Lytechinus pictus: one gene and its partners. The protein of the gene in region 3 interacts with the protein of the main gene of each other region in a biochemical or structural test. Links are inferred from orthologs where the notes say so. Each region holds a gene or a part of one and is shown on either strand. Other genes may lie near its edges.

The links.
Region 1: the proteins of E3 ubiquitin-protein ligase parkin-like (region 3) and ubiquitin-conjugating enzyme E2 N form a complex in vitro, tested with the Homo sapiens proteins (6 studies listed by BioGRID). The link is inferred for Lytechinus pictus from reciprocal best matches to the Homo sapiens genes PRKN and UBE2N.
Region 2: the proteins of E3 ubiquitin-protein ligase parkin-like (region 3) and ubiquitin-conjugating enzyme E2 D1-like form a complex in vitro, tested with the Homo sapiens proteins (3 studies listed by BioGRID). The link is inferred for Lytechinus pictus from reciprocal best matches to the Homo sapiens genes PRKN and UBE2D1.

The regions. Positions count from the first base shown.
Region 1 is NC_087247.1:55,175,297-55,182,217, reverse strand, and holds the start of ubiquitin-conjugating enzyme E2 N, read left to right. Parts: upstream 1-3,912; 5' UTR 3,913-3,989; coding exon 3,990-4,016; intron 4,017-4,240; coding exon 4,241-4,385; intron 4,386-6,047; coding exon 6,048-6,188; intron 6,189-6,921. UniProt on the Homo sapiens protein: The UBE2V1-UBE2N and UBE2V2-UBE2N heterodimers catalyze the synthesis of non-canonical 'Lys-63'-linked polyubiquitin chains. This type of polyubiquitination does not lead to protein degradation by the proteasome.
Region 2 is NC_087262.1:4,913,014-4,920,685, forward strand, and holds the start of ubiquitin-conjugating enzyme E2 D1-like, read right to left. Parts: upstream 3,010-7,672; 5' UTR 2,738-3,009; coding exon 2,714-2,737; intron 1-2,713.
Region 3 is NC_087248.1:10,161,568-10,169,555, reverse strand, and holds the start of E3 ubiquitin-protein ligase parkin-like, read right to left. Parts: upstream 3,020-7,988; 5' UTR 2,828-3,019; coding exon 2,618-2,827; intron 1-2,617. UniProt on the Homo sapiens protein: Functions within a multiprotein E3 ubiquitin ligase complex, catalyzing the covalent attachment of ubiquitin moieties onto substrate proteins. Substrates include SYT11 and VDAC1.

The DNA.
Region 1 (6,921 bases), on a different chromosome or scaffold from region 3:
ATCAATCTTGGATTCTGCCAAGGCAAGCTTATTAACTTCAGCAACCTCCTCCTTCAGTGTATCCATCTTGAACTTCAAGGCTGCCTGTTCTTGTCTAAACAAATCAACAATACATTCGAGCCATGCCTGCTGCCGCTTTTCGAATTCTGCGAACCAAGGAGGGGGAGTATTCTCCACAGCAGCGCCAGAGCTAGCGGCAGCACTCTCGTTGTTGGCATCGTGCAAATCTCCCAAAATCTCTAAGCGATTCTCACTACTCAAAGAAGGTCTTTTCTTTACAGGTGACTCACCTGGATCCCTTGGGCTTTGGTGTTTTAGGTGACTCATGATGTTTAACAGAATATATCTAATGACAAAGGTCTGTGAAAGTGTAAAATGAATAAACTAAGGCTGAATATAAACAGACGTCCACCGTGCGAGACTCCTCAGCGTGCCGCCATATTCCGATCCCAAAAAAACCCACTTATTTTTGTCTTTTTTTTTTCAAACTGCATGGAGCCTGAAATAGGTCTGAAATGTTTTGATAATAAACGATGATCGAAATTGGATTTCTGTTAGCGAATTGCAATACTAGTTGAGTGACTTTCTGTACCACCAGGAACAAGGAAAAATTTATTGCCATTGGTTAGACCACCATCTTGACTTTTATCATGGAAATTAGTTGCACAGCCATATAATTAAAACCATTTTTTAACTGGTTTGGGCTGAGGTTGGGCAAATATTTTCAAAATCTAAATGAATAAAAAAAACAAGGTAGCAGGAACCAAGCAATCAAGCACTTATTGTAACAAGGGTTTCATTAAAAAAAAATTGTAAAATTTTTGAATGAAAATTCATTATTCAGTTTTTGTCTCACCTATATAGGCGCCGCTTTTCCGACGGCGGCGACGTCAACACCAAATCTTAATAATTTATAATTGAAGGTTCAGTTTTGAAATGACAGCATAACTTAGAAAATATATGGACCTAGTTCATGAAACTTATACATAAGGTTAATCAAGTATCACTGAACATCCTGCATGAGTTTCACATCACATGACCAAGGTCAAAGGTCATTTAGGGTCAATGAACTTTGGCCGAATTGGGGGTATCTGTTGAATTACCATCATAACTTTGAAAGTTTATGGATCTGATTCATGAAACTTGGACATAATAGTAATCAAGTATTACTGAACATCCTGTGCAAGTTTCAGGTCACATGATCAAGGTCAAAGGTCATTTAGGGTCAATGAACTTTGGCCAAATTGGGGTATTTGTTGAATTACAGCCATAAATTTGAAAGTGTGTTGGTCTAGTTCATAAAACTTGGACATAATAGTAATCAAGTATCACTGAACATCCTGTGCGAGTTTCAGGTCACATGATCAAGGTCAAAGGTCATGTAAGGTCAAAGAACTTTGGCCACGTTGGGGGTATTTGTTGAATTGCCATCATATCTCTATAAGTGTATTGGTCTAGTTCATAAAACGTGGAAATAAGAGTAACCAAGTATCACTGAACATCTTGTGCGAGTTATAGTAGTTTTCAAAATCAGCACTGCTGCTATATTGAATCGCGTGATGCAGGTGAGACGGCCAGAGGCATTCCACTTGTTGTATATTTTCTTTTATTAAAGGTCAAGTCCACCCCAGAAAAATGTTGATTGGAATAAATAGAGAAAATCAAACTAGCATAACGCTGAAAATTTCATCAAAATCTGATGTAAAATAAGAAAGTTGACATGTTAAAGTTTCGCTTATTTTTCACAAGACAGTGATATGCACATTTCAGTGGCATGCAAATGAGACAGTCGATGATGTCCCTCACTCACTGTTTTTTATTGTTTGAATTATACAATATTTCATTTTTTAAAGGTTTGACAATAAGGACCAACTTGACTAAACTATATGGTATTAAACAATGCTAATTCCACATGCTCAGGGAGGAATTAATCGTTGCTTCACTTGACAATGAGGAGAAAATTAGAATATTTCATATAAAATACAAAAGAAATAGTGAGTGGATGATGTCATCAGTCTCCTCATTTGCATTCTGATCAGGATGTGCATATAACTGTTTTCTGAAATTAAGCAAAACTTTAAAATATCATAACTTTCTTATTTAACATCCAATTTTTATGAAATTTTTAGTGTTATGCTTGTTGGATTTTTTTCTTTTTATTCAAATTAATTTTTTTGGGGGTAGACTTTTCCTTAAACAAAAACTGATTACATGACCAATTAGTACTGATTGCGATCAATTACTTTCAAACACTTATTCACTGACACTTTAACAATTCTAACTTTGAGTATCCTCCTATTTCATGAAAATAAACAATAAATTCATGGTTATAAATCTTCTAAAATTTATTAAAAATTGAGTCATAAGCTTTTGGAGTGGATTTTTTCAAAATGAAAATTTGGAAAATGATTTTTGTGCAATCACATTTTGTACCAAATGCCTGTGTTTAGCTTTATTGTCTCATTTACAGGAATTGCAGATTTTTGGTAAAGTTGAATCATTCAAATGTTGCTGTAATTTTGGTATAAATAGGAAGTGAATACTATCCACTTTCTCAAATCATGGACCATAATATAAACACTTCTTTACATAATAATGTAAATGGATAAAAATATATGGCAAGTGAGGTATAATCAGTAATCTTTCTAAGTTAGTTGTATGCCCTAGGCCTAAACAGTTATGTTGTGGAAGATATGAATTGAAAAATATGCTTTACATTACAAATTTGTGATTTTACATGAAAATATTTCTATCATAAGAAAAAAAACCCACTCAGTTTTGTGATTTTTTTTTCTTTTTTATAACACCCATTCCAAAGCACGGAATGGGGTGAAATTTGCTGGATAAAATCTCTGTCTGTATCTGATATTAATTTAGATTGTGTAAGATGAATGTAACTCACAGTATTTAGTGCTCAAAGAACCCCTTTTGAAGAAATAGAAACATATTGCTGAGATAAAGCACTAGATATCTTAGATTTGAATACAGTGTGTTTGAATTTGACAGAGAATCTGCAGTTGCGAAAAGATTCAACGGCTGCAACACCTCTGTAACATTGGAATGCTAGGATAGATGATTGTATTGTATTGTATTTATTTTCCATTCATAAAAACATGCAAAATACAAACAAAATACATCAGATATAATTACAAAATAAAATGAATACATATGAATGGCTGGATTGCCCATTCAGAGTGGTAATTTTTACCACTCTGTTCTGCCTAGGGGTCCAGAACATAATAAAATAGATCAGATTGTATTATAAACATCATTAACAATAGAAAAGAACGACATTAAACAAAATATAAAGTAATGAAAGCTAGTCAGTAGACATAAAACTAAATATAAAGTTACGATTTCAAGCTACAAGCAAATACCCCCCCCCCCCCTTCCCGGCAAAACAATGCGTTGCTCAGATATCAATGTACTTCGAAACCTTAGAGCTCAAAGAAGTAATAAATGTAGTTAAGTTTTTGATAAATTTCATATCTAAAGGTAAGTCATTATATAGGCGTGAACCTCTATATATAAACATTCTACGGCAATTTTCTGTATTTGGTTTTATGATACTTACGTATGACCATTTACCAAAGCTTTGGCCAGGCTTTAAATTGACAATTTCCCCTGCATGGATAGTGTTTTAAATAAGTACTCGGTCACCGTCGAGGGCCAAATCAGTGAACCTTATATTTTAAGCTTGACCCTAACCCAAGTGGCAATCAGGGAAGCATTTCATCAATATTTTCGTCTGACAAAATGTTCTATTTAGTTCTCATTTAGGACGACATTCAAGTTTCAACTTCTCATTATTATCGTTGCAATGTTGTAAATATTCATTTACAACTAAATCTATTGGAATTATTAATTTGTTTACTGTTTGTTTATCTCTACCTTTCTACAACTACCAAAAATAGGAGACACAGCGTCTCAATACTGAGCCTGTACCAGGAATAAAAGCAACCCCAGATGAAGCAAATTGCAGACTATTCATGGTGACAATAGATGGACCCAAAGATGTAAGTATTGCCAAGGAGTGGAATGCTACTTCATGTATTTTCTCACTTTCTCTAATATGGTAAAGCCATTAGGTCTCATCCTATTACATCTATGACCAAATTGTCAAATAATAACTTGGTCTATATTTGCCTTTCATTTAGAATGCCTTGTCATCTGCCTGTATGATAATTCCGAATTAATTTTTACTAATGATTATCTTATTTATTTCTCCCTCTCTCATCAGTCTCCTTTTGAAAATGGGACTTTTAAACTAGAACTTTTTCTTCCTGAAGAATATCCAATGGCAGCACCAAAAGTACGGTTTATGACAAAAATTTATCATCCTAATGTGGATAAATTGGGACGTATCTGCCTTGATATACTCAAAGGTAAGTACAACTATTTTACTAATAAATCTGCATGCTTTTTTGTTCATTTTTTTTGTCTCCCCTTCCCCTGGCAAAATTTCATAGTATACTTTGTATTTATGTGGCTACATCATTATTGTATGCACTCTAACTGCCCCATTTTAAAGTGATTTCTTTGGAATTAGTCCAAAGGTGTATCTTTAAAACTGAACCTTTGGTGAGGCTACCATCAGCATTTGGTCTTTTAGAGGTTACTGTGGAAGATTTGTGTACACTCTTAAGACTGCCTTTCTTGACAGATTACTGCAAAATAGAGGTGTATCGTGGTGTAATTTAAGATGCTGCCACCAGTGTTCTGTTGTTGGTAAAAGTTCATATCGTAGATGAAAAATGTCATGGGGAGATTATTTACCCTCTTATGAATATCAGTGCCAGCGATTGATCCTTATCTAGAGCTGCAGAATGTGTCAAACTGAAATATTGTAAAAACAAGGGATCACATCATTTTTGTCTCGCCTGCATTTCAGAGCGAGACTATAGACGCCGCTTTTCCGGCAGCGGCGGCGTCAACATTGAAATCTTAACCAAGGTTAAGTTTTTGAAAAGTCATCATAAGAAAGTATGTGGACCTAGTTCATGAAACTGAGATATAAGGGTAATAGTGTATCACTGAAGATCATGCCAGAGTTTCAGGTCACATGACCAAGGTCAAAGGTCATTTAGGGTCAATGAAATTTTATGATGTTGGGGGTATTTGTGAATTTGTCATCTTAACTCTAAAAGTTATATATATTTCATGAAACTTGGTCATAAGAGTAGCCATGTATCCCTAAAAATTCTGTGCACATTTCAGGTCACATGACCAAGATCAAAGGTCATTTAAGGTCAATGAACTTTGGCCATGTTCAGGGTATTTGTTGAATTGGCATCATAACTTCGAAAGGTTATGGATCTCCACATGTAGTTCATAAAACAGACATAAGGGCAATCAAGTATGAATGATTGTTTTGCACACATCTTAGGTCACATGATCATGGTCAAATGTCATTTTTGGTCAATGGACATACTGGACTGTGGACATAGTATTTTATTATCACATGACTATGAGTTAGTTCTTTTGTGAATAAAAAATTATTAAATATCTGTTTTCAAAGTCAGCACTGCTGCTATATCGAATCACGTAATGCAGATGAGACTGCCAGAGGCATTCCACTTGTAGTTTAAATTATGAATAGATTTGTTAATTGATGACTATACAATATACATTCCATTGTGAGGGGAGATATGTCCTGGATCACTTAATTATTCTCAATTCATTGACATTAAACTCTCTTTTTTTCAACTCACATATTTTCTAAAGCTCTAAACTCATCTACACAGTTAGAGTGTGCTCTCATTATTCTTGAGGGAGTATCATTGTCTTTTATTTAAGCAAATTGTCAGCATTCATGCTTTCTTTATCAGGTAAAAAAAATCACCACCATATATCAAAAGTCAATCGAGTCACTCCTGCCTATCCAGTAATCTGGTGAAGACATTTTGTTTAGAAATGAATGATCATTGAGGCAATTGTCTTGGTGGTGTATTTCGGTATATGATATTTAATAGTCTCAAGGTTTGAAAGTATTCAGTGTAAAAAAATGTACATTAAATGGCAGGATAATCCTTCTTTGATGTTTGCAGACAAATGGAGCCCTGCTCTTCAAATCCGAACAGTGTTGTTGTCAATTCAAGCCCTTTTGAGTGCCCCTAACCCTGATGACCCATTAGCAAATGATGTTGCAGAGAGTTGGAAGTTAAATGAGGCTCAGGCAATTAAAACAGGTGAGTATTTGAATGTCTCATGCATCTCATACCTGATTATTGAAGTGTCGCATCCGATTACTTCAGCCCCCTTGCCACTCAATTCAATTTCCAAGTATGCAATATCACAGAAATCTATTAAAAGAGATCAACCACTTACTTAAATAACTAAGCTATACCTGAATTAGAATGACTAAATACAAGAAATTTTAAGTCCACTTCTATGGACTTCAAGTCAATTGTTCATGCAATCTGTAATGATGATAGTGAATAGCTGATCATCTAAGATCATCCCATACAAATTGAATTACATGTATTACTATTAATATTTTCCATCATTTCCCAGCTTTTTCTACTTTTTAGCTCATCTGGCCCTTGCTGTGGCGTGGTGTCTGTCGTCTGCCGTCCGTCCACAATCAAAATGCTTCTTCGCTATTTCAAGTCCGATTTCAATTCTGTTTGCTTTATATGATAGCACTAGGTGGGGGGATTCAAAACTTCTACACAGAATTTGAAACTCAATAAATATGCTTATTTATGCACACTTTTATAAATTCACAAAAAAATGCTTCTCCTTCTTTATTTGTTGACAGATTTTGAATTTTTTGCTTCCATCTGGTAGAGCTTGATGAGGTTCACCAAACTTCTACACAGAATTTTGAAATTTTGAGTAGAACAATTTTTATGCTAATTTATGCGTATTTTTAAAAATTCACCTAAAATGCTTCTTCTTTTTTAATTGTAGACCGATTTT
Region 2 (7,672 bases), on a different chromosome or scaffold from region 3:
GACATGAAACTCAGGCAGGATGTTCAGTAATACTTGATTAACCTTATGGCCAAGTTTCATGAACTAGGTCCATATACTTTCTAAGTTATGCTGTCATTTCAAAAACTTAACCTAAGGTTAAGATTTGGTGTTGACGCCGCCGCCGCCGTCGCCGCCGCCGTCGCCGTCGCCGCCGCCGCCGCCGTCGGAAAAGCGGCGCCTATAGTCTCACTCTGCTATGCAGGTGAGACAAAAACTAAATTGTATAAATAATTATCTGATTAATGTTATGTAAATTTGGTGCAAAAGTACATGAAATTGCTGATACACTTAAATGCTTGTAAAATCAAACGCACACAAAATAATATGCACAATTTTAATACACAGTCGGCTTGTGTGAGTGGCTGTATATGTGTAATAGAAAACATCAAGTTCAACAAATCAGAATAAATACTTTTAATATTTTGAACATGAAAAATAAGCAAATAAGCTACATGTAACATCATGTACATGTACCGGGTAGTAGTTTTAGTATAATTCTTAATTGACCATGCAGTGGTCCAACTTTAATTACCCCTTATATGGGGGTAAGTTGGAACACTTGCGATGGTCTTGTTCAAGGTGGATTTTTTCAGTAACCATTCATAGAGTTAAAGGGATGGTCCAGGCTGAAAATATTTATATCTTAATACATAGAGTAGAATTCACTGAGAAAAATGCTGAAAATTTCATCAAAATCGGATAACAAATAATAAAGTTATTGAAGTTTAAAGTTTAGCAATATTTTGTAAAAAAAGTTGTCATGAATATTCATTAGGTGGGCTGATGATGTCACATCCTCACTTTCTGTTTTCTTATGTCATTACATAAAATCATTTTTTTTCATTATTTCATACTTGTGTGAATAATATGTCTCCCTTATAATGAAATAAGTTGCAGCAATAAATATCTAATCCACCAAATCAGCTGTCAATCCAATTTTTCTAGTTCTTGGAGAAAAAAATTTGAATAAACATAATTTCATATAATAAAATACAAAAGAACAAAAGGGGATGTGACATCATCAGCCCACCTAATGAATATTCATGACAACTGTTTTCACAAAATATTGCTAAACTTTAAAATTCAATAACTTTGTTATTTGTTATCCAATTTTGATGAAATTTTCGGCATTATGCTGAGTGAATTCTACTCTATTTATTCAGCTATAAATACTTTCAGCCCGGACCATCCCTTTAAAGAATTTTATGGGTACATTTGTAGCCTCTATGTTTAAAGCTGATATATTGTTTCTTGAATAAAATCTCTTTGGACTTTACAGCCATTTTTGTCAAAAATATTCCAACTAACCCCAATCTCCCCTAATTATCTTACCTTTGTCTGCTTGATTTATTTTCCAAAGCTTTGCAAAACGATCGTGCGCAAATTAAGGTCACAATTTTTTATGACACTTTTTCATCCAAGCGCGCACTAGTCGATCGCCATGGAATTTTGAGATCGCAATACGAGCGAAACCCTTGACCTACTTTATAATTCCGTCAAGCGAATTTGACTTTGGGATCTTGCCTTCCAACTGGTAGAACTTTATGATTTTGATTAATTTTGTGTGAACTGTTGATTGAAAATCAACTTCATAATTCTTAAAATGTGCGCAAATTATGTTTAAACTTTAGTCACGTAGTAGAGTACGCTTAGCCTTAGACTTTTTTTTAAAATGACGTGTTGCTTCTCTTAAAATTAAAGTCTTAGCAAAAAGTGACAGTTTGTTACTAGTTTTTGAGAGCGAGTATTTGTGGCCCGAGGGTTCGGTTAGGTGTAGCGGTAGTGCAGTGTTGTGGAGCCTACATTATAGTATGGTCAGTTCCCCCATGTCTGCGCGGTCTCCCAAGTCTGCGCACCCGCGTATCTGCGCGATTCTAGTAAAAGAAGATACGCAACGAGCACGATCTTTACACATGCAATACATAGACAGGTATTCATAAAAAAATCCGACTCAAAATGGTTGAAAAATAATGAATTCAGGGCATTTCATGTGACGGCCTCAAAATGCAGCCTTTGTCATCAAAATCCCCGAATCGTGTGCAAAGTGAATGAGTGCGCAGACATGGGGTACCATTTTTTTTTTTCAATCTGAAAATGACTGCCCGAGGTTTTTTCAAGAAAATCTTATATTTTCTTTCATTTTTTAATGAGAAATTTGGTACACTTACTCTTAATAATATAAGGAACACTATTAACCAAAGATTTTGTGAAATAAAAAGGAAATTCATGTTAAATCTTAACTCAAATTGTTAGGTGCGCAGACTTGGGGCCCACCATCATACATGATCATGAACCATCGCCTGCTGAGCTGAGTCTAATCATAATTCATATTATTATTAACCTTGTTTGTTCATTGTTGAATGAGCATGATGAGTGGTCTACGACTAGGGATTTTACTTTTTACTAAATTTTAGATCTCGTCTCTTTTTAGTTTTACTCACTCTCCCTTGGAGTTGGATTATACACATGATAGTGATACACATTATATTACTAAACGTAAGTTATAGACACAGGGCCTTGTCTAATTCATGTTTGGAATAGATCTACACTGCATCTGCAGTGCAGAACATATTCTGAACATCCTGATTCACACACAAACATTCATGATCCATTCCATGCACTGCAACTGCACGTCCAGAAAAAAAAAGTCCAAAACAAAAAGTGTGAATTGTGATTGTAAATTCTAACTCACCTTTGCTATTCTTTTTAATGCCATTGCGACTATACAGTAAACAGGTTCTAAAGATTGTAAATAACGTAAACAAAGGCACCAAATGCCCAGAATCTAGTGGAACTTGATCATGGAATCGTTACTCATTAGCCTTTTCGTTGTCTATTTGTTGTAGTTTGCGTATTTTACGTGCATCTTCTGCAAACTGCATTGCAATCGAATCTACGGTACGGTACGGTACGACGAAATTACCATTCACGCACGCGCGCGACCTTGAGGGCAAAAGAAACGGGCGTGCGAGCTACACTTGTTGAAGTGATAGCTGGCGAACAGCGCGTACGACGTCATGATCATATTGCCAAATACAGGCAATACGGAAAGAACTTACATCACAGAGCCCTCATTCGCTTGAACACAACATGTGATTTGCTGTAGTAACTATAGTTGCGTAACGTAACAAGAAAAGTGAATCATCTCTAACGAAGTTAATTTCACAGCATTGGGAAGAGATGATAATCGGATTTCTCGTATTCTTAGAAAAGAGGTTAATTTCAGGCAGCCTTAAACAATTTGAATTGCATGAATAAACCGAGGAAACATAACCAAACAGGCATTATAATTATAGAATTGCATCAAAATCAGATAGCCCGATAAAATAATTAATGTAGGCCTGAATTGCAGGGCCGTAGCCAGAAGCATTTTGTTGGGGGGGGGGGGGGGTGTACCAGCTAAATTTGCCAACTAAATTTGGCATGACAGCGCCAACGTGAGCACAGGGGGAGTCTGATGGGGGATGTGCCCCCCCTACAATAATCAATTGCTAAAAGATTTTGAATTTTTAGAATTGAATTAGTGGCATTTGGTGAATACTTTAAGGTAAATTATATACAAAGATATACAAAGATATTTGCACTTTAAAAATAAACATTTTGGATCAAAATAGAAAGGCTAGTGTGCCGTAGTTGCTAACTTGCAGTATATAATGATATACCCTATGCATTAATAATATCAAAATCAAAGATTTATTAATTTTTGATTGACCTTCTGTGCAAGATGTCTCAACTAAAATTTCAAGAATGCTACTGCTAACAGTGGCGTACCGTGGGTCACGGCATGGGGGGGGGGGGGGGGCACCAGCAAAAATTTAGAGTCATTAAGTGGGCGCGCGTAGCGCGCTCAATTGCCAGGTATACTGACCTGATATAGAGACATTTTAAGGACTGTGCCATTAAACGGATATGTATCTTAGTGATCAAATAATGCGAGCGCGAAGCTCGAGCTGAAAATGTTTGGTATTCAGTCCTAAAAAGGGACATTATAAGCAAAGTTTTGTAATCATGATACGTATCTGTCTTCAAAACAAACAATGCGAGCGCGAAGCCCGAGCTGAAATTTTTTGTATAACTTAACCCTAAAAAGGGACATTTTCAGGACTATCTTTTGGAATTTATGAAGTGCGTACGTATCTCATCATAGTCATCTAATGCGAGCGCCAAGCGCTTGCTGATTTTGTTAGAATTACACTGGCACATGAAGCACTTTTTGTGGTCATTGTAATCATGAACATGATACGTATTTCACTAATGAAATATTGCGGGCGAGAAGCGCGAGCTGACAATTTTTGAAATTCAGACCTGAAGAGGGGCATTCTATGGCTTGTTTGTAGGAATTTACTATTTCACTAATTAAGTAATGCGAGCGCGAAGCGCGAGCTGAAAATTTGTTATAATTAGATCAGAAAAAGGGACATTTTAAGGACTGTCTTTAGGAATTCGTGCACTGCAGAAACGCCGGTGATTTAACACCAGCCCGGCCGGTATCTATATCGGTCCACACCAATGCGAACGTAAGCACAGACTGGAAATGTTTTATTAAGGCCTTAAATCACTTTAAGTATATAGTCATGAAAAAAGCATATGTCACTACATAAAACAATGATAACTTGAAGTGCGAGGAGTGCGAGTTTGGTGCATAATCATATACCCTTTTTACACACGCTAAAATTTCCTTAACCCCGTACTATAGGTGGGGCTAAATTGCCATTTAGCCCCACCTATAGTACGGGGTTAAGCTTAGCCCACTTTCTTTTTACACAGCATTTTTGCAAAGTGGGCTAACCCCACCTTTAGTACGGGATTATTTGGCCCTGCAAAAAAGCAGGGTTATCCCAGCAATTGCGGTGCTAAGAGCGATAGTACGGGGTTAAGATCGCTAGTGTAAAACGAAAGTGGGCTAAGCTTAACCCCGTACTATAGGTGGGGCTAAATGCAGTGGCGTAGCTAGGATTTTTTTCCCGGGGGGGCACTGGGGGTCCTTGCTTTTTCAGGGGGGGCACCGACCATTTTTCCGGTGTGTGTGTGTATGTGTCACAACTTTGGGCGGATCCGACTTTCGCCAATAGGGGACGGGGCCCGAAATTATCTTCACCTATATCAGTCACTTCTTAGTTTTATTCTTATAAAACAACATAAACATGAAATAATCTCATAAGCCTGATAAAAAGTGCGAGTGCGAAGCGCGAGCGATTTTTTTTTTACTCTCATGTATTTTTAATCTAATTTTCTGGGCAATGTTATGTGTGATCCTGAACAAGATTCGTATGTAACTAGATGGCTACTGCGAACGCCAAGCGCGAACATAAATTTTTATCAACTGTTCTAGCATTATCGAAAAGGGACCTGTTACGGACTGCTTACAGTTACCCACGAAGACGGTATATATTTCGATAATGCGAGTGCGAAGCGCGAGCAAATTTTTTTTTACATTCCGACCTAAAAAATTGTCATTCTAAGCACTTTTTGTATTAATAAATGGGATAGGTATGTAACTAAACAATTGATGCGAGCGCGAAGCGCGAGAGGAAGAAAATTGAGATTTTAGACCTCAAAGCGGGACATTCTATTCATATTTTGTAAATCATAAATAGGATATAGTCAATTGGGTATCATTAATAATGCGATCGTGAAGCGTGAGCAGACAATTATTGATATTCTGATGTGAAACTGGATAATTCAAGTACATGTACATTTTAAATAAAGAACATGCAGGCTATCGCGCGTGTTGTAGATGTAGACCTAGAATCTGGGCATTCTGAATACATTTGTTACATGGAACATTATGGAATACACGTAGACAATATGAACTTCGCAAATCAAACAATGTGACCACGCAGCGTGAGCTTAAAATGCTGATATATGTAGACCATAAAACGGACATTTTACAGAGCACTTAAATTTGTAAATGAAAAAAAAATAATGAAAGCTCGATGTCGAGCTAAAATATGTTTTGCATATTGACTTCAAAACTTGCTCCATATCAGCCTATTGAGCAAGATATGAATCTCATCGAACAGGCAATTCTGGCGCGAAGCGCCAGTAAAAATTTTATATAGTAACATAAAAAGATTTGTTTTTTAATTACATTATTTCATTCACTCGTCTTCCTCCTCTTATTTTCTTCTTCTTTTTTTCTTCTGTCTTTCTTCTTCTTTTCCTTTTTCTTTTCCTTTTTTTCTTTTCTTCTCCCTTTTTTCTTTCCTTTTTTTTTTGCTCTGCCAATTTTTTCTGGGGGGGGGGGGGGGGGGCACCTGGGGGGCACACCAAATCTCAGGGGGGCACGTGCCCCCCCAGGCCCCCCGTAGCTACGCCACTGGTTAAATGGCAATTTGGCCCCACCTATAGTACGGGGTTAAAGGGATGGTCCGGGCTGAAAATATTTTTATCTTAATACATAGAGTAGAATTCACTGAGCAAAATGCCGAAAATTTCATCAAAATCGGATAACAAATAATAAAGTTATTGAAGTTTAAAATTTAGCAATATTTTGTGAAAACAGTCGTCATGAATATTCATTAGGTGGGCTGATGATGTCACATCTCCACTTTCCGTTTTCTTATGTTATTACATAAAATCATAATTTTTTCAATATTTAATACTTGTGTGAATAATATGTCTCCCTTATAATGAATTAAGTTGCAGCAATATATATCTAATGCACTAAATCAGTTGTCAATCCAATTTTTCTAGTTCTTTGAGGAAAAAAATTGAATAAACCTAATTTCATATAATAAAATACAAAAGAACAAGTGGAGATGTGACATCATCAGCCCACCTAATGAATATTCATGACGACTGTTTTCACAAAATATTGCTAAACTTTAAACTTTAAACTTCAGTAACTTTATTATTTGTTATCCGATTTTGATGAAATTTTCGGCATTTTGCTCAGTGAATTCTGCTCTATTTATTAAGCTATACATACTTTCAGCCCGGACCATCCCTTGTAGCGTGTGTAAAAAGGTACGAGTGAAGTACTTGTACTACGAATGATCGACAAAAACCACTAGTCCGGGGTTAGCGAGTTTCGTGTGTGAAAAGCAAGCATTCCTTATCCGGGGTTAGCAATAACAATTTGGCATGTGTAAAAAGGAAAAAAAATAGTACGGGGTTAAGGATAGTAAGGGGTTAGCGATAGTCCGGGGCTAAGAAAATCCTGTGTAAAAAGGGTAGGACTATATATCTCATTAGTCAGACAATGCGAGCACCAGGAATGATGCAACCCCAACCTGCCCCCACTCCCACCCATCCCCATCCTAAGCACCTTCTGACACCATAAATAAAATAAAAAAGTTTAGTAAAAATAACTTAGAACATTTTGGTGTTTTTTGCCAACTGCAAACTTGTAGACAAGTCTACAAGTTGTAGACTTGTCTTCATGAATTTGCCAACTGCAGAGTTACCATTTTTTAAGTCTTGTGTTCTGTTCTTTTCAGATCTGAAACGGGGCAGTACTTGTATCACTTTGCTGACTGGTAGAGCGTATATAGTGTTCTGCCACTTTAATAGGCCCACTTTATAATTTGCCAACTATACTTTGGCTTTGATTATTCAACTTAAACCTTGGAAATTCATTCCACCCAATATTTATGTACTTAGTCTTGCCTTTAATTTTACAAAACTAATGTGTTTGTTAAATCGTCAA
Region 3 (7,988 bases):
CAAAGACCCTAATATTTAAGTTAGTCTAGATTCCAGCTTCCTTCCACTGTGCGAGGTTAGAACTAACCTCGCACAAGGAACCGTGTTTGGCAGAGGATTTTAATTGTTAAACTAGATCTAGTGGTAGTGCCAGTCAGGCCAGTGGTGAGTGGGTCGTGTATGCTGGATGTCACTGCTGGCGTCCACAACACACGACTTCTAATTTTGTATGGCTTGATTTTTCTGTGTGCAGCGGCATGTACCCTTGAGTGCACCAGGCAGTACCCTAACCCAGGGAGCTCCGGCCCGCGAAGCCCTGCAGACTCTAGATCTGTATAGAAAAGCGGGTCGGAGCCCAGGACTCGTCCGTGTAATATTAGGCAGAGTGCTCTCCAAAATGGGGTAGAATGGGGTCGCAATAGCACCCCAAATAAAAAGGGGAAAAATAAATTATGCACTTACCTCGATTATATAGATAAAGGTCTATTGTGACACAGAATCCTGACATCGAGGCACAAACTGGACCCTCAAAAAAGGGAAAGTTCTGTCTCGTTCGTTCTCCTTTCAAAATTGAAAACAAAAGTAAAAAAGGCTGATCGATACCGAGAAATAACTCGACATAGAGGTCTAACTTTTCCTTTTATTGAGGGTCCAGTTTGTGCCTCGATGTCAGGATTCTGTGTCACTCACAGGGTAACCAGTAGTACCCGAGCCCCCTTTTCGAGCCATTGGCGTCAGGGTGACCAGGCGTCCTGTATTTCCCGGTATCGTACAGTATTTTGCTCATTTGTCTCTGCGTCCCGACAGACCCTTCCCGGGACGCATATTTGTCCCGTATTTCAGAATATTGAACAAAATAAAGTTAATACGTTTAAAAGTGAAGAATTTTCTTGAAATAACCAACAGATGACAAGGCAAAGACAACTATAAAATCGATAACTGTAAACTTTTGCAAGTTCTGCGGTGATTTTCTTGCTAACCCAAGGATTGTAATCCTTTATGTTTGGATTTGAAATCAATAAAATTAAACTTGAAACTTGAAGCTTACACTGCAAACGAATTGGCCTCCTGCCTGTGTGTGGCTACTAGCTCGGCATGTAGGATCGGAGCAGATTCTAAATGGTGCAAACAATCTCACATGATATTGGTAACAGTTTTCCACCAAAATAATCACAAAATCGGCAGGAATTTTTTAAATTATATTATGGATTGATTTTCTCAGATTACTGATTTGGTGATGTATTGAGTTTTCATAACCAGATCTATGTTGTTTCAGCTTTCGTTTTGAGTCTTCTTGTGATCGGTGCAAGCTTGTAATATGGGATGGAAGAGATGCCTGTGTGTGATGCCGCGATGTTTCATCTAATTTTTAAATTTTTTTTTGCTTTGAAATTTTATTCATTTCTGAAACATTTTAGTTTTTTTTATTCAAAAAAATATATATTAAAAAACACCAAATACCGCCTTTACCGGTAGGCTATTAAGATTTTTGTTAGATGATTGGACTTTTTTGTTTGCTTGAAATTTGAACTTTTTCCTCTTTCTTTCTTTTCTATCCTTTCTTCATCCTATCCTTCTTGCTTGCCCTTTTTTGTTCCATTTATCTTTCTTTCTTTCCTGATCCTTTCTATCCCTCTATGTTCATTTTTCTTTCTTAATTCCTTCTTTCTTTTTTATATTTCCTTTTTTATTTCCTTCCTTCAACTTTTCTTTGCTTCCTTCTTTTTATTCTCGTTCTTTCTCTCCTTCCATTATTTTCTTCTTTTATTCTCTCCTCCCTTCATTCTTTCCTCCCTCTTTCATCCTTTCTTTCTTTCAATTTTTCCTTCTAATTATTTTCCCTTATTCTTTCTGTCTTTCCCTCCCTTCCTTCCTTACTTTACTTGTTTTTCTTCTTTCTTTCCTTTTTCCATTTTCTGAATCATTTTTCTTTCCATCATTCTTTCTTTCTTCCTCCTTTTATCTTACTTTTTTCCTTTCTCTCATTTATTTTTTCTTTCACACATTCGTTCATCTTCCCTTCCTTTCTTTCTTTATTCATTTTTCTCTCTTTTATTCTTTCTTTTATCCTTCTTTTATTTTAATTTTTTTTCTTGCACTTTCCCTTTTATTCTTTTCTTTCTTTCTTTTCAATTCATCTCTTTTCTTTGTCTCCTTCATTCTTTCGTTCATCCTCCCTTCCGATTCTTTATATTTTTTTACAATTCTAATTTTTAGCCTTCTTTGTTGATCTTTTTCATTAAGCCTAGGCCTGGCTTGGTCGATCCGCTCGTGCAGCGTGCTTTGTCGATTGTGACTCCCGTATAACGTATTTCTTTTTGACTTTTGTGAAATCCGGGGAGCGTTTCATCAACATTTTCGTCCGACAAGTTGTCAGATCTGACATCTTTCCTTGATTTTGATTGGCTGAGAGGTACTGTTCCTATAGTAACTGTCGGATAAAATGGGACTTGTCGGATAAAACTTCTGACATGACGTCACAAGTCCTTTCATGAAACGCCACCCTGGACCTGGTCACCCTTTTTGTTGGTTGACGTTGTGCGGATCTGCGTCTTTTCATTCATTCTTTCAATCATTAATTCAGGCGCAGTAACTTAGAATCTAAAGTTCTAAACACTTAATCTAACGTTAGGCCTACCTCCATTGTTTGCACATCAGTGATCAACTTCCCAGCGAATATCAGGCGAATATCTGCGGGGGACTGTCCCGAGAGACGAGCAACCTCGTCTCGTATCTCGGCCCCACTTTGCGTCGCGTGAACAGGCATCCTCATTTCTGCTACATTTCCGGAAAATTTACCCAACCTTGGAGACTGAATGAGCCTGACTGATATAAGGATCTGGTCCATCTTTGAATGACACGTTGAAATATTGTAAATCACATAAAAAGTGACAAAACATAATTTATAACCATGAATGATAACGTCGTTTTAATAATACAGGCCAGGCCACACGAATACATCGCGCGCGCGTGGCCGGCGAACACGTGAAATTTTTGAAGCGCGCTCAGCTATTCTGGAAAAAATCGTCTGCTGGAGTAGAACAGCTGACGAGTTCGAAAATCCCCTGATGAAAAAATTAGTTGATCAAAAAGGGACCTGTTAAAGGACAGGTCCACCCCAACAAAACGTTGATTTGAATAAAAAGAGAAATATCCAACAAACACAACACTGAAAATTTCATCAAAATCGGATGGAAAATGAGAATGTTATGACATTTTCAATTTCGCTTAATTTTTTACAAAATATAGTTATATGCACATCCTGGTCAGTATGCAAATGAGGGAACTGATGACATCACTCTCTCACTCACTATTTCTTTTTTATTTTATTATATGAAATATTCTTATTTTCTCCTCATTTTCCTGTGAAACAAAGTTTTATTTTGCCCTGAACATGTGGAATTACCATTGTTTAACATAATTTTTATGGCTCAGTCAAGTTGGTCCTTATTGTCAAATCTGTAAAAATTGAAATATTGTATAATTCAAACAATAAAAAAAAAAAAGAAATACTATAGTAGTGAGTGAGGGACATCATCAATTCTCTCATTTGCATGTGACTAAATTGTGCATATAACTATTTTGTGAAAATCTTCTTATTTTACATCCTATTTTGATGAAATTTTCAGCATTATGCTTTTCTGATTTTTCACTATTGATTCAAATCAACATTTTTTTGAGGTGGACTTGACCTTTAACGGCTGCTTGCAGTTAGCCATGAAGACGTTACATATTTCAACAATCAAATACTAGTAATGCGAGCGCGAAGCGCGAGCTGAAAATTTGACATTTCTACCTGAAGAATGGACATTCTAAGCACTTTTTGCAATCGTGAAAAGGATAAGTATATACAATAAATGCGAGCGAAGCGCGAGCGGAAAAATTCGAGATTTACATTTAAATATGGGACACTACTCTATTCATGTTTGGTACATCATGAAAAGGATGAGTAATTGGAAATCTTCCTACATCAATAATGCGAGCGCAAAGCACCAGCAGATTTTTTTTTAATATTGTGATCTGAAACTGGATAATAATTTAAATAGAGAACAAGCTGCGTATCTGAACATGCATATACGCGCGCGTGTTTCAGATTTTGGCCTAGAATCTAGGCATTCTAAATACCTTTTCAATCATGAAAATCAATTATTTATTTACCTATTTATTTCTTCAAATAATATTTCCATAGGGTGCCCTGTCAGCAAAGGCTGGTATCAAAAGGGGCCCTAAAAGCATTACAAAAAACACGTAGGCCTATATACAAGTGATAAAAATATACAAAGTAAAAACATTATATAAATCATACATATTAGAATACAGAAAGGCATGCAAAGTCGGAGTCATTAAAATATTTGTAACACCGGACATAATATATGATTTGAGTTTTTTTTTTTAAATAGAGAGGGTGGATATGGTTTTTAAATGAAGGGGCAAGGAATTGAACATTGATATATTGAGGAGATAATGAATGAGTATTTATAGTATCAGTATTGCATTTTGGGACATCGAGTTGTAGGTTGGAGGCAGATCTTGTTTAAAGTTATCATTAAAGACATCGGAAGATAAATTATTTAGACTCTAAAATATTAATATACATCGGAAATACATTACTCTTTGGTGATAGGAGAACCATTCTAGTTTTTTTTTATTGATCAGACGGGCTGAGGACGTGAGCTCTGTTTGAGTATTATATTCTGGCAGCAAGTTTCTGAAGTGTTATTATTTTTATTCGTTTGTGTGATAAATCGTAAACCCCATACTTCACAACAATTGTCAATTTGACTTTGGATTAAACAGTTATAAATTTATTTTGATGTGGTAAGATCATTGAATGGATGAAAAGCGAGCGCGAAGCGATGGCTTAAAATATTTGATATTCCGATCTGAAAAATTGTCAATTTCAGCTCTGTATTTCAAGCACTTTGTATATAGGAAAATTGTGAGGTGGATATGGATCACAGTTAAAAAAGAGCTGATATCATGGATATGTTTCATTATTTTTACTTTGAGTTTTGACATAGGACCCGGGGCATTCTACGAACATTATGTCGTCATATGAAAATGATGACTATCTTCCTATTTCTCTTCCTAAGCGCTAGATGAAACTTGTTGAAATTCCTTTCTGAAAAAAGACAATTTGATTTGTAAATTAATATCTTATTTATTAATCTAATAAGCCTCGTGAGAGCGTGAAATCTGTTAATATTATGGCCTGAAAATTGGACATTTAAAGCACTTTATGAATAAGATGCATGAATTAATATATTTTCAACAATCAATGCGAGCGCAAATCGTGAGCCGAAATTTTAGATAAACTGTCATGAATGGGGATTTTAAAGGGATTGTCAGGGCTGAAAATATTTATATCTAAATAAATGGAGTGAAATTCATAAAGCAAAATGCTGAAATTTCATCAAAATCGGATAACAAACACTGACAAATATGGAAATTATTGAATTTTAAATTTTATCAATATTTTGTGAAAACAGTTCTATGCACATCGTCATGATTATACATAAGTTGGGCTGATGATGTTATATCCCCATTTTCCTTTTTCTTATGTTATTACATGAAATCACAAATGTTTCATATTGTCACACATGTGAAAATGATGTGTCTCCATTATGATGAAATAAATTGCGGCAATAAAAACTGATGCACTTAATCAGTTGTCGATCCAACTGTTTAAGTTCTTGGTAGATTTTTTTTTGAATAAACCTGATTTCATAAAATAAAACACAAAAGAACAAGTGGGTATATGACATCATCAGCCCACCTAATGAATATTCATGAAGACATGCTTAGAACTGTTTCACAGGAATAATGCAAATCTTTAAAATTCAATAACTTTTTCTGCATTTTTCTCTGTGAATTTTACTCTATTTATTGACATATAAATATTTCCAGCCTGGACCATCCCTTTAAGTAGTTTGTTATAGAATGAATACTGAGATATGCATATAACTGATTAGGGATAATTTCGAGAACTTTATGGAATACCGGGAAATAAAAGGTATCTGACAAAACAAATTCTGCGAGCGCGCAGCGCGAGCATAAAATGTTAATATTCAGACCATAAAACACAAATTTTTGCAGAGCACTTTTAAAAAATAAATGTCAATCAATCAAAATAATGATTTCCGAGCTGAAACGTGTTTTGTAAATTGACTTCAAAATTTGATATTTTAAGCTCCATATTGAGCAAGATATGTTAATCACCAAAAAGCGATAATTGTTTATAGTGACATGAAAATTTTTGAAATTTTCTTCCAAGTCTTCCCCTCATCTTTTTTTATTCACTCGTCTTCCTCCTTTTATGTTTCCCCTTCTTTTTCTCCTCTTTTATTTTCTTTCTTTCCCCCTTTTTTTTCTTTTTTTTTGCTCCGCCAATAGGGGGGGGGGGGGGCGGGTCTCGTTTTCAAGTAAATATTCACCAAATATATTTCCTCTCATTATTTTGGTTAGTGCAATACGTATAATGAATTCCTACAAACAAGTCTTAAAATACCATGAAGTTCGGGTATCAGCACGCGCACGCGCTTCGCGCTCGCAATATTTGATTAGTGAAATAGGCCTACGTATCATCTTCATGATTACAACCACCAGCGTATCCAGCATCAACTACGACAAAGAAAATGTATGGGCCCGTGCAAAAGCATGATACAGTCACTATTGTCCCTCATTATTGGGCCCATGATGCTTTCATAATAGGATCTGATGCTGGATACGCAACAGATGACTACAAAAGTTCTTCATATGTGTTTAGGTGTGAATCTAAAAAATCAGCAGTGAGCGCTTGACGCTCAATTTTTTTTTCTTTCTTCAAATTAAATGACGATGGCGAGATATCGATATGTATATGCTCTTCATCATGAATTCCTTTTCTAAAAATAGTCCTTAAGGACGTTCCACAGTTAAAATGAAATCATTTTAAGCTTCAGCACCTAATTATTCCAAATATGCAAAAAAAAAACCATAATAATAAAATGGGTTCATGTGCTTGTCTTTTTGCTATCAGCTCACCCAATTTGAAGTTTGTATTCACAGGGTTTGGACATTTTCAGACTTCACGTTGAGTTTAAATAATTCAATCAAAATCCCTGTAAATTTCATCACAGTATAATTCAAATTGTATACTTAAGATGGATAATCTATTCACATTGTTATTTGATTGCCCTTTTAATGCTAGCAGCACCTTCAATTCACAATAGCTATCTCACAAATTTGAAATTTCTGTAACAAATTTGCGAAGTACAATAAATGCTACACTTTTTCCAAAACGCATATGTCATTTTTACCAAAATTTGCAAAGTTGGAGAGGAAAGTATACTTACGAGGTGTAAACATCAAGTAATAGGGGTTCATGTGCTTGTTTTTAAACTCACCAACAATATGTTGCGCCAATGCGGGCCAATGCTTTGTATATGAGAAGAAACATCTCTAACTGATCTACCGTTTATTCAAACTCGAGGTCATATTCGTCATTCTTTGCAGTATAATTCCAATGCAGAGTTAAAGTATTCTGAAATTGTAGAGGTATTTCAAAAATGGTTCCATGGATTATTTTCAGCTAATATACGTTTTATAATTATCATGATTATGATATGTTATTGGAATGCATATCAAGGAAAAATCCACTGATACATAATAACTAATTTAATCATATATTACTATATGGTTTGCAATGTTTATTTGTTGGGCAAAATCTGGGTACTGTATAACATAAAGGTTGGAAATTGGAAATATATAGGGACGGTGAACTTCATAAAATATGATGACTAAAACGAAAATAATTTATTTATTCATTTATTTATTTCAAATCTTTAACCAGAAGTGCCTGTTCAGCGTTGTACAACTTAATATGCAAAATTACACAATATATACAATTATTAAGACCTTCATTAACAAAAATCGCTGGTCTTCCACAGGGATCTGCCTATCTAAAAACATATAATTCATAACATAAAGAAAACATAAGTAAAATAATTTCGTGTAGATGCCAGTCCCAT